Drosophila melanogaster: one gene and its partners. The protein of the gene in region 1 purifies or fractionates together with the protein of each later gene. This does not show direct contact. Each region holds a gene or a part of one and is shown on either strand. Other genes may lie near its edges.

Region 1 (3,090 bases):
GGACTTTGAACCCACTAGCGTTCAGGACCAAGTATCTCTGCTTGATCCGGATGACTTGACCCTCGATGACCACCCCTGCGAAATGGTCATCATGGTGGGTCTGCCAGGATCCGGAAAGAGCCACTTTTGTTCCAGCTTTTTTCAACCGCGGGGCTACAAAATCGTCAATGCAGATACATTGGGTAGCACTCAAAACTGCCTGACTGCCTGTAAACGGTTCCTGGACTCGGGCCAATCATGTGTGGTGGATAACACCAATGTGGATGCAGCTTCTCGAAAAAAATTCTTGCAGTTGGCCAGCGAAAAGATGATTCCATGCCGCTGCCTTGTGATGAATGTGCCCGTCGCCCAAGTGAAGCACAATATAGCTTTCCGAGAGCTATCAGACTCCGCGCGCACCAAGATCAAGGACATGGTATTTAACATGATGAAGAAAAAGTACCAGGAACCCGCCCTAGACGAAGGATTTATATCCATACACAAGGTGAACTTTAAGCCCAATTTTGCGGACGAAAAGCAGGAAAAGCTATACAAAATGTACTTGGTCGAGAAATAAGGAAGTAAAATAAATTGTATTTAATCCAAAGTGAATATACGCTTAGCTATATCGGCGATCAACCAGTCCATGGAGCTAAGCAGTTTCTCGCCAGTCACTGCACTAACTCCGGCCACCAGCCAATGATGTGTGGTGATATCCTCTAGGTGTAGTATCTTTAAATATAAAGTATATTAAATGTGTTGTTTCAATAAAAAATCAATGAGAGTGAACCTCTTTAATTTCGTTGGATGAGAGGGCTCCCGGTAGATCCTGTTTGTTGCAGAGAACTAGGAGTGTGGCTCCAGCTAATCGCTCTTCCTGGAGCAGAACTTGCAGCTCCTGGCCGCAGGACTCTAGGCGCATCCTGTCAGCGCTATCCACCACCCAGACCAGACCATCAGTGGACTCGAAGTAGTTTCTCCAGTAGGATCGCAGAGACTTCTGGCCACCGACATCCCACATATTCAGGGTGTAGCCGTTGTGCTCCAAGGTTTTAATATTGAATCCCAGTGTGGGTGAGATGGTGTCTATGGGTTCGCCATTAAAGCGCTTCAGGATTGTCGTCTTGCCGGCATTATCCAGACCTCTATAAGAAAGTCGATACATGAATCACTATTTATTTTTTTATAATTCCATGGAACTCACAGCAGTAATATGCGCATTTCCCTTTCCTTCTGTCGCATCTTTTTTAATACTGTGAGGAAGCCCATGACAACGTCTGTATTTTAGTAACGCTATGGAATTATAAACAAATGTTTTTATTGGCAGCTGCTTAAATTGTTTATTAAACTAAATAGGAATTTCCAGGTGAATGCCAAACTGCTGGAAATATCGACATCGATGTATCGATAATACATCGATATATCTCCAGTTGTCAGCTGTCATATTTCAGACCGATATTTTTCGCCCAGGAAAACTGCTCACTTTTTGCTAAATCTTAAAAATAAACCCCAGCAAAATGATGAACCTGTCGAGAGTAAGTAATTTACATTACTCTACACACCTTTCTGGAGGAACAGCATGAGTTCCGAAACACTGGAGATCCCATTACCTACATCCAATTACGTAAGTTCCCTGGAGCCTCAGAACTAACCGCACATTTTGTACTCCTCGGCAGGCTGTTGTCCGTAGCTTCGCTACCACCGCTGGCCGCCGGTCCGCCGCCGTGCCCAAGGACCAGATCGAGAAGGGATACTTCGAGATCCGCAAGGTGCAGGAGCACTTTCAGAAGAAGGACGGCAAGCCCGTCTTCCTCAAGGGATCCGTCGTGGACAACGTGCTCTACCGCGTCACCGTCGCTCTCGCCCTCGTCGGCATCGGTGGCATGGGCAAGCTTTTCTACGAGCTGAGTGTTCCCAAGAAGGAGTGAAGTCGCAGTACCGAACCCTAAGCTAAGCCATTAAACCCCGCGCAAGATCCGTGATTCAGCGTAGTCGCCTTATATTTCAATGTTTTGATTGTGTAAGTTCCATTTTTTAGAATTTTGTGTTTATGCTAGGTTGCTAAGTTCTTGACATAAAATATGACATTATCCAAGGACAACATTCCGTAAACTATTCCCTGTATTTGTCTAATAAATTTATAGACTATGTTTAAACCTTAAGTTATAATATTTGTTTGCAAACTAGCATCTTAAAGTCTCCGTCTTATACAATAATAGTTTAATTAGGAATTTTATTTGTACAATAATAGATATGTGTAACATGAGAACCACTTGCCTAAGAGATCTGCCATTCAGATACAACATCTATCCCAAAAGTTTGTAACTAATCGCAATCCTTAATCCCTTTATCTTGCAGAGCCTTGCCCTGGATACCTGGACAACATGAAACACCCCAACCTACAACCTGGCTTATTGTTTTGTGTTAGAATAGCTAAGATTTGATGTGTAAACTGAACATTCGCAAGAGCATTTAAAGCGTGGAAATATAAGAGATCTGGCTGTAAAGTAACGAGACTGCTTATTTGTTTTAGGCACGGTCGCTGGCAACGAGATATTTGCCCAAAAGTATTTCCCCTTAATTGCATTGACATTAAGTAAACAAACAGCGGCGACATGGAGCAGAGATCTGGGATGCGGTCGAGACTGGGGAATCGGCTAAGGAAACGGCCTGTTTTATAAATCAAAGGGCGGCAACTCGGCGCGTTGCCATTGGCATGGAAATGCATTTTAAATCGAGCGAATCATGTTGCGCTTTAACACAAGCACAGGCCCATGCACGCCGCCCGTTTATTAATACCCGAGTGCGGCGGAATATGCAATTCATGACGTTTTTCATTAGTTATTCTCCATAAACACTTAAATAAAACTAAAGCATTAAAAATTATGAAAACATCCGCCGCTTTATGCATTTTCCCTGGCATTTTCCACACACTCACAACGGGCAGTGCGTCACGAAACTGTTGTGGAATTTAAGAAATATGTTAGTTATTAAACGAGAAATAATATTTAACAGATAGTTTCCGCAAACAGTTGCATGTTCTCAAGTCTAAGAGTATATTCCCTTATAGAAAACTCGTATAGTGAACTTAGTAAGTAACTTATCCTTATA
Region 2 (4,779 bases), on another chromosome or scaffold:
ACCCTGACTATCTTTTTATCTCTGATTATCTTTTTTTTTTCAAAAATTAGCTCACTACAATCCACTCTTTTTCAGTATATACGAATGATATTACCGTGCACTACAAGAATGCAAGCCCAACTGCAATTAACAGTAATTGGCGTAGCCATTCAGCAGCATTGCAAAACTACAGAAAGGGACCAAAAATGTAGATTTGAACAATTTTAAACTGGCTGGATATTGACTCGCATCAGTAATATAAAATTCTCCATAAAAATGCACCTCAGTTTTCAATGATAAAATAGAATGTAATGATAGATAGAATGTAAATGATAGAATGATGCGTTTTCGACCTTATAAAGTATTTTCCTTCAGGATCACTAGCCAAGTCGATTTGGCCGGACGGACGGACATGTCCCGATGAACGTCGAGATCTCAGGAACTAAACAAGCTAGAACGTTAAGAATAAGCATGCTGAAACGCAGGTACTGATGTAGCCACGCCCACAACCTGCGAAAAACTGTCACACCCACACTTAAAAATTTGTTTTTCAATTTCTATCGATATGCCAAAAAATGTTTCAATTTCTCGTTAGTAATTCCACTAGCTGGAGTATCTGATAGTCAACGAACTCGACTATAGCGATCTCTCTTGTTTTTATTTACTTGCGCACCGGCCATACATTGGTTTTACATTATCCACCACTTTTTTGGTGGCCGCAAATTAAACCGAATAGGATTATATTTTTAGATTATCATTGGGAATGAGTTAGAATTAATTTAATAACAATCTAATAGTAAAATTTACTGGAGCAAATGAATGTAAATATGATTGCGAAAAATTAACGACACTGATCAAATATAATTCTGCTGCAAAGTGCTCAAGTGCATAATAAACATTTGCAGGACACTCTAGGAAGTCGACAAAAACAATACATATATATATGGGGATATACTGTCCGCTTGCTTAAAAATGTCTTTCATGGCTCCATATTTCAGATCTTAAACACCGCACTTGAAAACACCGAATTTAAATTATCTCAAAATCAAAGAATCCAAATTAACATTACAATTAAAATACGGCGGGTTGCTAATGAAATTATGTATTTTTTTTTTCTAAAATTATTAAAATTAGAGAATATCTCGAACTCAATTTGATAAAATATTTACTAAAATAAGTAGCTACGAAGGGGCATTAGTGGTAAACACATTAACAAGCTGTTAGCTTAGTACAACATTTGAATTTGAAAATGGCGCACTATCAGAATGACTATCGATGTATGCATTACCACGAAAGTTACTGCACTACATGTAGAAAATACAATCTCCTTGAAAATCCCAAATAAATAATAATCTCATAAATAGTTTATAAATTACAAGACTTTTTATGAAACTCGCATTTTAGAACATCTATGAATCGGGTATTGATTTTGGCTTCCTATTTTATATATATTTTCATGTAGCTTTTAAACAGTCGTATATAAATAGATCTGTCAAAACAATGAAGAAACATGTTAATATTAAAGGCCCCAAGATACAAAAAATTCGCAATTCCTCAATCAATCGCTGCGAACTCACTTGCGCGCAAAGCTGTTCAATAATGTTTTATTCATAAAGTCTTGCTGAAATTCTCTGTAGCAAATATCATTTAGCTAGATTTCAATCTTTTGTATTTTTCAAAAAAGTCATTTAGAATGTGACACAAAACAGTTTCGGTTCATGAAATAGGACTTATCAGCGACTTTGACATATTTAATTGTTATTAATGGCTAATATTACATACCTTTAACAAGAACGTAGATCGAACTTGATATAATCGTCTGATTGACTGAGATGGCATTGGAAAAGTAAAAAAAACCAGGAAGCAATTTAAGGTATCATTTTTTAAAAAAAAAGTTGTTACCCTACGTTGGACGTAACGAATCCTTACGTTTTGCTCATTTAACGCCCCTCGAAGTGTGACCAGTCCGCGTAATGAATAGGTATTTCATTGATATCTGCTTACAGCCACATTTGACTAAACACTAAATATAAATAATAGTTTGTGACTCAGAATTTAGGCTTCAGGAGCTACGCAAAGCTTTATTTCCTCTTCATCAAAGCTGTAATGTTGATGTAAATCCAGGAGAAATCGTTTACAGCTATATCTGAACACATTCTGGGAGCAGCTGCGAATAAGCAGACAAAGGTGTGAACGAGTGTGTAACAGCCGTGTATACTTGTGTGGGCGCCGAGGAAACTACAAACAAGAGCCAAAGCGATGGTGGGAATTATCGATGAGGTGCAGCTTTTTTATCCCCTAGGAACCCGCATCAAAATTGGGGACAACTACGGCACAGTGCGTTATGTGGGAGAGGTGAGCCGTTGGCTGGTTTGGCTTCCGCAGGCATAAGACTTAATCCCAACCTGCTATCCGTATTTTTAGGTGAGCGGCCATATGGGTAGCTGGCTGGGAATAGAATGGGACGACGGACTGCGTGGCAAACACAACGGCATCGTGGACGGCAAGCGCTACTTTCAGACGCAGACACCCACGGGAGGCAGCTTCATCCGACCGGGAAAGGTAGGGCCGTGTGCCACCCTGGAGGACGCTGCTCGGGAGCGGTACCTAAACTACGACTCGAGCAACGTCGACGAGTCTCTTATCCGGGAAGCTCAGGCCAGCCTGCAGGCGTCGCTTTTTGAAGTCGTGGGCATGGACAAGATCGCTCGCAAGCAAAGCAAGTTCGAGCAACTGGAGGAGGTGAGTGTAGACCAGACGCCGGTAAACGCTGCCGGTTACCTGAAGGAGTTGACACACCTCACAACGTTGAACGTAAGCCATACCTTAATCTGGAATTGGGAGATCGTGGCCAGCATAGCGCAACAGCTACCCTCCTTAACCAACCTGAACCTGAGGTAAGTAAAAATAAGTAAAATGTGCCACTTTAATTGCCAAACCTTTTAGCTCCAACCGATTGGTCCTGCCCACGTCATCCCAAATCACTGAGCTTGAGCCCTCATTTCGGCAGCTCAAACGCATCAACCTTCGCAGTTGTGGCTTTTCCGACTGGAAGGATGTAATGCACACAGCGCTTCTCTGGCCAAATATTTTGTCACTGGGCTTACAGGAGAATTCACTCGGCCAGCTAGCAGAAGTCGATCGAACAAAGATATTTAAGCAGCTACATGAACTCGACTTACACCGCACGAACATTATGGATTTTGACCAGGTGACAAAGTTGGGCAACCTCACGACTTTGCGCTTACTGAATATCATGGAGAATGGTATCGAGGAGATAAAACTTCCCGACTGTGATTCACAAGAAAAGCTTAATATTTTTGTCTCGCTGGAGCAGCTGAACCTGCTTCACAATCCCATTTGGAATGAGGTAGGGCAGCGTTTTTTTGGCACTAAAAAATTTACTGTCATAATGTTATCCTCGCAGGCTGATGCGTTTAACGAGCTGGACAAGCTGCCACAGCTGAAACGCCTGAGTAAGACTCCGCACTTAAAGTCAAACTTTGATGAAATGTTCTCCAAAGCTGTAGCTAGCATAGCCAGCCTGCAGTTCATTAATAAAGCCGAGGTGACAGCGGAACAGAGACGTGGAGCCGAGTACGATATTTGGAAAAAGTATGCTCTAGATTGGATGCAGGCGACGCAAGGGGGGACAGATTCCTTACGGGAGTTTTGCCGAAGACATCGCACCTACCCCCTGCTGGTTAAAAGTAAGCTACTATCTGCCTTGGACATTCCAAAATTATTTAATATATATGTTTACAGAGTACGGTTCCCCGGCAGACTTTGTACCGCGTAGTCAAGCGAAGCAGTCGAATTTGATTAATGTTTCCATAAGACATCAGCTGACGGGCGAAACCTGGGAGAAGAAAGTCCCGCGAATGATTACTGTGCAGACGCTGCAGGGATTGGTTATGAAGCGATTCCGGTTAAGCGGTGACGTCCCGCAGCTTTGCTACGTTGATGCGTTGCATCCGGATCTTGTGGTACCATTGGATAACAATGCTAAAACACTGGACTTTTATTCTGTACAGGAGCATGATACAGTTTTGGTTCAATAGCGGCCAGTATAATAGCACGGACTTTGCACCATTCTCCGTATTTAGATGTATTACAGTTTTAGACAAATGAAAATCAAAAATTCTTGTTCGATTTTACTTCTGTCTCCCTCTGTTTTAAAGTGCAAATGTTATGTTAAGGTACTAATAAGTTGAACATTTCACTAAGCAATTCCACTCAGATATTTATACTGTTTTGCTTTTCAAAAAAGAAAACACGTTATTTAACCAGATAATTAAAAAAGCTTTTTTGCTATTATTGTGGGACATAACGATGTTATCAGCTGTATTAAAGTTGAAGTAAATGTGTATTGGATTGGAAATCAACAAAAATACCGGCCGACGGCCATGGCAAGTTCGACAAGCGAAGCTACTGATCCTTGTCGAGAACATATATATTTTAATATCTTAAAAGCGGCGGGCGCAGAAACGTTATCTTTTCAATTTATGAAGCCATGCTAATAATGTGGGACATTTTTCTTTAGCGACCTCAACAGTCCGATAACTTCCTTACTCGTATAGTAAAAGGTAACTATAATTGTAGAGAAGCGCAACCTTGTTGTCGAACAGTTGCTCCTACTAGTTGAGCAACAGGTAGCTAGTTTTCTCTGATGTTTATTACTTTCCTCTGGATTCTATAATCAGCAATAATTTATGAAGAATGTAAATTCAACAGCAATTCTCAGTTTCCAAAAATATTTTCCCTAATGTAATAAATCGCTAAAATTTGCATAATTCGGCT
Region 3 (4,666 bases), about 20 Mb from region 1:
ATTGTGAGTAAACGAGATTGCGAGAAGCAGCTGGATCGCAAGATGCCACCCAATATCATCTGTGCCGGTGCCTACAACAACAAGACTCTCTGCTTCGGCGACTCCGGTGGACCACTTCTGTTGGGGCGGCAAGTTTGTGGCATCAACACGTGGACTTTCAAATGCGGCAACAACGAAAAGCCAGACGTATACATGGGTGTGCGATACTACGCCAAGTTTATTAAAAGAACTATTAACAGAATGGGCTTTTGAAGAAATTTATTTGAGTATCACAAAATAAAAATACTGTCTATCTAAGTTTACAACTTAGTCATAAATTAAATTTTAAACTGGTATTAAGTGTGTGTGACTCGACAGACTTCATGTTATTCCATTTCAGCAGCGTTTTTTATTGTCAATCTCATGAAGCTGATAACCTAGATGTCTAAAATGACTAACTAAACCGCTTCCAATTATTCATGTAGATAAGTTTGGTTTGTTCAAGCTACGATTCTATGATTTACAAGGTTGTAATTGGAAAACAAAAATATACTGATTAAATAGCATATAATAAAATATATGTTCAATACTCAAACAACTAACTTTATATATTTCAATTACATTTTTACATTTGGCTACATTTCAATCTTGTACGTCCATGTACAATTCTACAAATCTGATTGAAGAATGCAGTTGTAGAATGTAGAATGTGGCGCTCTTTGCACCTTAGACTCACGTGCTGTTACCTCATTCTTCGACTCTCTTCTTTCTCTCCCCTCTCTCTATCTTTTCCCTAAGAATTCTCACCAGCTCAGCGAAGCGTAAGATGGGAGAGAAAGAATTGCATTGTTGGCGCCTAGCCGGTAAAAATCATACGATAAAGGGGAAAAGTCGGGAAAAGCGGGAAGACAAACACGCTGCTATGGAAAATATCTTGTTTTGTCCCACAGTTTCACTTAAACTAATGTATTTACGACCTCTGCTCTTCGCGCTCTCTGCACTTCGAGAAATCAGGGAAGATATTGCCGCAATTTTGGATAGTGATTCAAATAAATATACTCACTAATGAAGAGGAACTTAGCATGAATAAATGGTTCGGGTATTCATAGGTTTTCGAATGAAATTTGTTTTTATTGTTCATCATTTAAGAGGCATTGTTTTAAACATAACCAACGTTCTAATTAATAATCTTTATCTAAAGTATTGATGTAATTTGGGTCATGTATTAATGAAATGTTCCACCTGTAAAAAAAAAATAATAACCTGTTTAATAAAATAAACCTGTTTTATAGGGACTCTAAAAATGTATATACAGCTGTGCCCAAGATAACAGCAGCACGTTATTACAACTATAATATTTATAATTTTTAAGAGTAACAAAAGTTTCTTTGTAAAAACTTTTGTATTTTTAGAACTCTGATCTCTGATCATCTGTTTGATATGAAAAATTGTTATACTAAATTCAATACATCACCAAAACTATCTACAATATATTAATCTAAGATTGCAAACCATAATTTTATCATTTCTTATCATGCCAATTTGTAAAGGCATTTTTTTATAAATATTTTTCCGAGTGGAAAACTAATGCGGCCCCCTTTAACCGTAGAGCACAAATTCCCCAGCGGGTCGCGTTCGGTTTCTCGCCATTCATTCAGTTCACGTTGGATTCTCAAAGCGAACGCGTGTCGATCGTTCTGCTCACGAAAAGCTCTCCTCCGACTCTTCACCGGATTCAACCGAATGCGTGACCGATTGTGACTCAGATTCGGATTCAGATTCAGATTGATATAGTGGCTGATAATTGCTGATAGTGCGTGTGTGCGTCAGTGTGTTCAATTGAGTTAAGTTTGGCTGCCAAAAGTTACTAGTTCATTTGCGAAATGAGGGAAATTGTGCATCTGCAGGCGGGCCAGTGCGGCAATCAGATCGGTTCGAAGGTGCGTATAATTGATATTCCATCGGTGTTCGCATCACAGACCTTTGCTCTATTTTATAGCTACTTTTCGCTACTATCCTAACCTCACATGTTTAATTATAAAACAGGGGGAAATGAAGAAAGAGCGCTCTTTGCCTCTCTCACTGCGACTTTCTCTCTCTCTCTCTCTCTCTTGGCTTTTCACGTTTTGTTTTTAGTGGCCAGCAATTAAAATGGGTGGGGGGTTGGTGGGGGGTGGCATAGATTATTTTGCCAGTTCGGGAAACTATAAAACTGCAAAACATTGAAGAAACCTAACGTACTTGGCACTTATCTTATCGCTCGCAAGATACGAATATCAGCAACCTTAAAGTATCGCATTTAAATTACCTTGGACTCGCAGCATATCGCAGTGAATTAAACCCAGAAATCCGCTCGCAAACTAAGCAAAATCACCTCAGTCAGGTGTAAACAATTAGATCGCCGCTCAGTTGAGAGCTTGTGATCAGCCGGCTATGCAAATCTGCACAGCAAGAAAAAAAGTAGTACCTTTAAAAAGATAAATAAACTTTATATGATTATTTAATCGTTATAAAGTAGTTTCCATTTAAACACAATTATGATTTAAAATTGAATTACAGATCCTTTTTATTCATTTGTTATTATAGAATAGAAGTTGATATTTTTTTTTCAGTGTACCTGGAGGTTTCTCGTTTCAAGAAATCCGATCTGTGAACCAAGTATTTTTGGCGGGAACTCAGAGTAAAATGCGGCAGCTTAGTGCCCTGTTAGTAGCATTTTGAAACTGGCTCGAAGGTTTCTCAGAAACTTCCGTCTTTTGGACAATTAACACAACTAACTGGTTCTGTAAACTAGTACTTTTCACAGGCTTTTATGATGTTTGCCCTCGCACAGTTGGCTGATCTTACTGTCATAAAGAACTCGTCGAAGGTTTCGTGGGTACTTCTAATTACGACAGAGGGGCTTGTAAATAATGTATCTGTATCTTGAACCGATATATGTATCTGATTCATGGCTGACTGTGACAAAGTGGCGGGCTTATGTGTGCGCTGCTTTCACTATCGGCGGCCTCTAATCAGTGGGCTTGTTTACACAACTTTAAACATAAATACCCGAAAAGTAAGAACTGATATGGGTTGCGCCGAAAATAGCAATTACATAGTGTGTTCTGGTATTTTGAGTAGAAAAGCGGCAGCATGTTTGCGGGCAATTAGAGGAGTGGAAATGAAAACAGCGCCCATTCTAAGCTAATTCAGCGCATTAACATTAACTCGCACAATTTGCTGCGTCATGAAAATCCAGCTACAAAAAGTCGTTGACGTTTGACACAGTTTTTGTTTTTATAATGCTTATTTTTTTTATATGTTTTTGTCTTTTTCCCGGCATTTCCCAGAGCAGTTTTCTCTGACCGTTTCTCTTTGCGCTCGCATTGCGCGCTTTTCCTCTTGAGTTTTATGCAAACACATTTCCACATATTTTAAAGTACTTTTTTGCGTGTTTTCACCACTGCCTTTTGCAGTTAATTAGAACGCACTTTTCCGGGATAAGCCAAGCCCAACATCCGATTTTGTACGCCCCCGAATCAGAGCATTATTACATCCATATTTTGCGGCCATTGTTATGTGTAGCTATTGTGCAGTTAAAAAATAAATACGATTATTTATGCAATTTGCGCTTATCGAATTTTTATAGATGGCATAAAGCCTGTTTGTTGGTGCATTAAATTTGAATATAATAATGGCGAACATATTTTGTTGCATGTCCTATTCATGCTCTTGTGTTGTTTTTTTTTTTTTTTTTTTTTTTTGCACACTGCCCGATTTTGTGCCTTAATTGAATGTCCTTTTCTGATTAATTGGCTGTCAGTATGAAATATTGTTGCAGCCTAGAATAAACAAATAATAAATGTGCAAAACTGCCTACGTGGCAAAATAGTTTGCACAATGGTGAATGGCGTAAATGGTGAATGTGATTTTTAAATAAATTTTCAAAACTAATTGCTCCGCTGATAAAGGCCAATAAGCAAATAAAAAAAAAAAACTTAACAGATTGATTACACATTAAGAGCAGAGCTTATTCACACATGAACGGGCTGCAAACAGAATGGATTGTAATTATAAAAACAGAGCTTAACAATTGAAATCCCGGCAGCGTACGCATGTTTTGTAAACATAATGTTTTCATTGAATCACGTTAAGTTCAATTCGATTTTAAGGCAGACAGCAATTTAAGCCATTCTCTTGGCTTCGATTAAATATGGCAAAATGCCGTCGAAAACGTCTTCCGGCCTTCCTCTGCCAACACCACGAAATTGATCACATATGTATGTATGTATGTATCGAGCGAGGCAAAGGCATCTATCCAAGGATATTTTGGCCTGCAGCTAGAGTTCGTTTTTCTTTTTCTTCATTATTTACATAAACCTAATTTTCCCTAAATCATTTTGTGAACAATAACAAGGAAAATCTATTTACGGGCACGGCATAAAGCCGAAGGAAAAGCGTTGTGCCACCATGGCGGAGAAATTTATAGACGAGCAGAACGTAGAAAATGGGAGCAAAAGGGGAAAGCGGAGAAAGTCAAGCAAGAACAGACAATAAAATTAAAGAGTGGAATAAGCCAGGCTGCAACGGCTCCTTTTAGCCAGTGTGGCATGCAGTGTGGCACACCCATATAGTCTGCCCCAGGATACGTTTGTTTGGCCCATAATGGCAGGGCATCATCGAGCAGCGCCAAAATAATGCACAA
Region 4 (3,865 bases), on another chromosome or scaffold:
TAAGTTTTGAAGTTGACAGTTCGAAAAAACTAAAATAAACAAAAATAAATTATTAATATCAATTTAGTTTTGCATCAAATCAGAAAACGCAATGAAAAGCATATGTACATACGAATTTGCTTTTCTAAAGTATTTCTTTACTTTTGCATTTTCAGAACAAACCTGATGTGTAAGTGGAGTGACCCGATCAATGTGCAGGCAATGGCTTGAGAGGTTCTGTTGTGGCCACATGAAACTTGCATGAGGCGCCGTCTTCCGCCCATTCCGGAATGTGTGTGGCAGCCACAGCCATTTTGGCCAACCACTGATTATGCCACATCCGAATTGGACATGTCAAATTAGCCACGACATAAACAAGAACAGATACATATGTACATACGCATGTACATATGTACATATGTTATCGAAGAAGTCAAACTTTAACTCACCCACTCCAAAATGATTACTGCTGAGATACTGAAAAAAATTTTGACAATGATTTGGAGTCCCTTAATATACAAGAGACTATTTTTGTTTTTTACATAATGGTTATTTAATCAACACGCTTATAGCTAATTACACAGATCGAGGATTAGATTTTGGGCCTGTAACTGAGGGCCGCAGCAGCATTTCCCAGAGCAGCCAACCGAGGATGATGCCGTAGGCTAGCCAACCGAGGAGCAGCCGCCGATGCCGCCACTAAATGATGGATATGTCCTTGACATCCTGCTTAAGTTCGCTGTTATGGTTATTGGCAATAAAGTCGCGCCTTAAGGCGTTCCAATTCGGATCGGGATAATCCTTGAGGAGGCTCCAGTTCGGCGAGGGGACATCCGGCGAAAGCCAGTTAAAATCGGCCACATCCGTATAGTTGTTCTGTGCCTTATTCAGTCCAGAAGCTAGGTAGTCGGCCTCCAGTTTGGAATAATCGTAGTTGTACTCTCCGATCTCAATACTCTTGCAATCCTCGATTATTGCGCGGCAGGTGACATGCATGTATATGCGAATGGACCGGGAGGAGTGCAACCTCAACTGCTGGCAGGCAATGGAGAGGGTGCAATCCTCGAGATTCTCGGCGAAGAAGGAGCGTGCGATGGGGCCGCATAGCAGCGTGCATTTGGAGGCCCTGGAAACCTGCACAGAACCGGGATGACCCTGCAGTTCAACCAAACAGTGGTTCAGTTTCGATATTGTGATGTCCTGGCCATTGACTTTAGCGGAATCCAGGACTATATGCTCGTTCGTTCGATTGGCAATCGTCCACGTGAAATTGGAGCCTAGTTTTTCTGGGACTTTACTGAGTTTCGCGTCGACTATATCCTTATTTGGAGGGACTTTTGGCTTTGTGACGGTCTTTTTGCCACTGAAACCAAACTTTTTCTTGGGCAACAGGCGCTGGCGGGTTTCATCACTGACGGCGGTCAGGGTGTTAAGGATATTCTGACAGGATTTGATCTTGAAGTCGGGCAGAAACATGGTGGATGCGGTGAGATATCGCTGCAGATCCTGGATCTCCACAGTTATGTCGGCGAAGTTTCTGGCCAAATCGGTTGGCTGGCCATCGCCGCACTGCACATCCTTTAATCGCTGCTCTATATCCATGGTTTTTTGGCTGAAAGTCTGGTAGAAGTAGTCAACGCCCTCGTTCTGCACTGTTTCCTTGGAACGCAGCTCCGATTTCACATCCAAATAGTTTTGCCTGTCCTTGTTTCTTTTGTTCAAACGCTCGAGGATTTGATCCTTGCGATTTTCCGCGTCGCCTTCCATGATTTTCGGTATCAATCTATAACGAAATATCTGGTTAAAAATCAATTTCTAGGGCATAACTTCTATTTGGCCGTATGAATCACAGTTGTTGTTGTTTTTCTTGCCAAGTTGCGCAGCTGCAGAGAAATGCATGGAAAACGCGGCTTTCTTACTGGGCACGTATCATATGCGCAGTGATTGTAGTTCAAATTAAGAGAAATTATATTATTTTTATTCTGTTTATTAACCTTTTGTTTAATTTTCTTATTATTTTGTGCAGCTGCTCACAATAACAAATGTTGCCTAATCGTTGTGAGTGTCAACAGTTATGTACTAAAAAAGACCAAACAACATTACCGTTTAATGCGCACGGTGAATGGCAACGGCGGCAAGAAGAAGAATACGCGCCAGGGAAATTTTAGATTTGAATTTTTTATAGGAGAAATGCGATAATATTAATTATGAACTCTTGTAAGCAGCGTAAGAAACTTAATACAATCAAACATCTCGCCGAACACAAAGCACATTGAATGTCGCCCACAGAAGCGATAAATTCTTGATAAATGCAAAAACGGAATTAAATTTAAATTATGGGTCTTATCTTTTTTGCTCTGTAGAACCTTTTACATAAAATGCGGATCAGTACGTTTTATTTCTGCGCTTGCAGTGGTTGTGCGATATCAAAATGTTTAGGCTTGAAAAATGTATTGTGTACTTACTTGTTGCCTGCAATCTGGTTGAATCACGAGCGGAATCCACAGAAAATTCCCGATCCGTGTGCCTTCTGAAAGATCCGCCAAATCAGTGCGGAGAATTCTGCCTTTCGGTGCTCCAACCGCTATTGGATCACATTGTAAAGCACCAGGAGCAATGGAACACCTCCGAGGCCCTCTGGCTGAACGAAACCCAGGGCAAATTGGACAGGATACAGACCCAGCTGGCGGCACAAGCGCTATCCTTGGAGGAATCAGCGCAGAAGGTTCCAGGAGACATCAAGGATAGACTGGACCGAATGGAACATCTTCAGACGACACTGCAGGAGTCTCTAAAGAAAATGCCAGCTGAACTCGATGCGAGGCTAATGAAAATGGAAAATCAGCAAAAGACATTGGGCGACCAGTTGGAAAATCAAATCAATCTCACCAAGGAATCTCAGCAGGATCAGTTGGAAGCCCTAAAGAACGCCATGCCGATAAATTTCGAAATGCGGCTGGCTCAGATTGAAGAACAGCAGAAGTTACTTCAGGAAACTCTAAAGAAGATCCCAGAGGATTTTGAACGGAAATTGCAAAAGTTGGAGCAGAATCAGAAGGATGAGCTGACCAAGCTGGGAGCTCAGCAGTCCGCCAACCAAGTCACACTCAAGGAAATTTATACCAAGGTCTTCTGGCCGAAATTTGAGCGAATCGGCTCTAGACTCTTCTACATAAATCACAAGGATGCCTACGACTGGCAATCCGCTGTAGACTTCTGTCGTGACATGGGTGGCTATATAGCCGCCATCAAGGATCAAGAGGAGCTGGACGCCATTTCAGCGAGACTGGACGACAAGAGCTACTGGCTGGGCATAAACGACTTGCAAAGCAGTAACACCTACGTATCCGTGGCATCCGGCAGGGAAGTTGAATTCCTCAATTGGAATGCGGGCGAACCCAATCACGGCAATGAAGATGAGAACTGTGTGGAGCTGATTAGGAGCAAAATGAACGATGATCCGTGCCACAGAAAGAAGCATGTTATTTGTCAAACCGACAAAGAAGTTTAAATGAAAACACTGTCTTTGCATATTCGAAATAAATAAAAGATACAGATACTAAAAACTATTCCCAAACTGTCGTAGAAAGTTGATTTCTCTTTGCGGCGCTCTTTTACCTTTTAGTTAAATACATAATCGCAGTATGTATGTAGTTATATATAGATAGAGTAGTTATAGTTGTGTGCTTGATGTGTTGTGCCCTACTGCGTGCAAATGTCCTAAAAAGCATTTGTACTTCTAACATTCATCCTTCGTTCGCAACATTTCAACACTTAAGTACTAGAAAAATATTAAAGACATATTTATTCCGTTCCGATATTTGGTTGTAACTTAGTAACTCGATTTGGGTTCGTGATTCCTGTGCATCCTGATTCTAATTCCGCT

Evidence for each region.
Region 2: the proteins of Arl2 (region 1) and Tbce purify together in Drosophila melanogaster (affinity purification with western blotting, with the first as the bait; one study listed by BioGRID). This does not show direct contact.
Region 3: the proteins of Arl2 (region 1) and betaTub97EF purify together in Drosophila melanogaster (affinity purification with mass spectrometry, with the first as the bait; one large-scale study listed by BioGRID). This does not show direct contact.
Region 4: the proteins of Arl2 (region 1) and Tbcc purify together in Drosophila melanogaster (affinity purification with western blotting, with the first as the bait; one study listed by BioGRID). This does not show direct contact.

What each region holds. Positions count from the first base shown.
Region 1 is NT_033777.3:8,339,337-8,342,426, reverse strand, and holds Arl2 (ADP ribosylation factor-like 2), read right to left. Parts: upstream 1,328-3,090; 5' UTR 1,249-1,327; coding exon 1,184-1,248; intron 1,125-1,183; coding exon 770-1,124; intron 767-769; exon of another isoform or gene 712-766; coding exon 577-711; 3' UTR 557-576; downstream 1-556. Other genes in the region: PNKP (polynucleotide kinase 3'-phosphatase), read left to right, coding at 1-556; COX7A (cytochrome c oxidase subunit 7A), read left to right, coding at 1,559-1,603, 1,656-1,907. UniProt on the Drosophila melanogaster protein: GTP-binding protein involved in protein trafficking; may modulate vesicle budding and uncoating within the Golgi apparatus.
Region 2 is NT_033778.4:6,040,690-6,045,468, forward strand, and holds Tbce (Tubulin-binding cofactor E), read left to right. Parts: upstream 1-1,842; 5' UTR 1,843-1,960; intron 1,961-1,965; exon of another isoform or gene 1,966-2,019; 5' UTR 2,020-2,238; coding exon 2,239-2,334; intron 2,335-2,403; coding exon 2,404-2,876; intron 2,877-2,925; coding exon 2,926-3,349; intron 3,350-3,406; coding exon 3,407-3,689; intron 3,690-3,744; coding exon 3,745-4,040; 3' UTR 4,041-4,275; downstream 4,276-4,779. UniProt on the Drosophila melanogaster protein: Tubulin-folding protein which is required for the development of the neuronal microtubule network. Essential for the development and function of neuromuscular synapses.
Region 3 is NT_033777.3:27,985,352-27,990,017, reverse strand, and holds the start of betaTub97EF (beta-Tubulin at 97EF), read left to right. Parts: upstream 1-1,633; 5' UTR 1,634-1,862; coding exon 1,863-1,919; intron 1,920-4,666. Other genes in the region: CG4815 (uncharacterized protein), read left to right, coding at 1-252.
Region 4 is NT_033779.5:4,185,738-4,189,602, forward strand, and holds Tbcc (Tubulin-binding cofactor C), read right to left. Parts: upstream 2,057-3,865; 5' UTR 1,830-2,056; intron 1,763-1,829; 5' UTR 1,747-1,762; coding exon 679-1,746; 3' UTR 513-678; downstream 1-512. Other genes in the region: lectin-24Db, read left to right, coding at 2,411-3,490.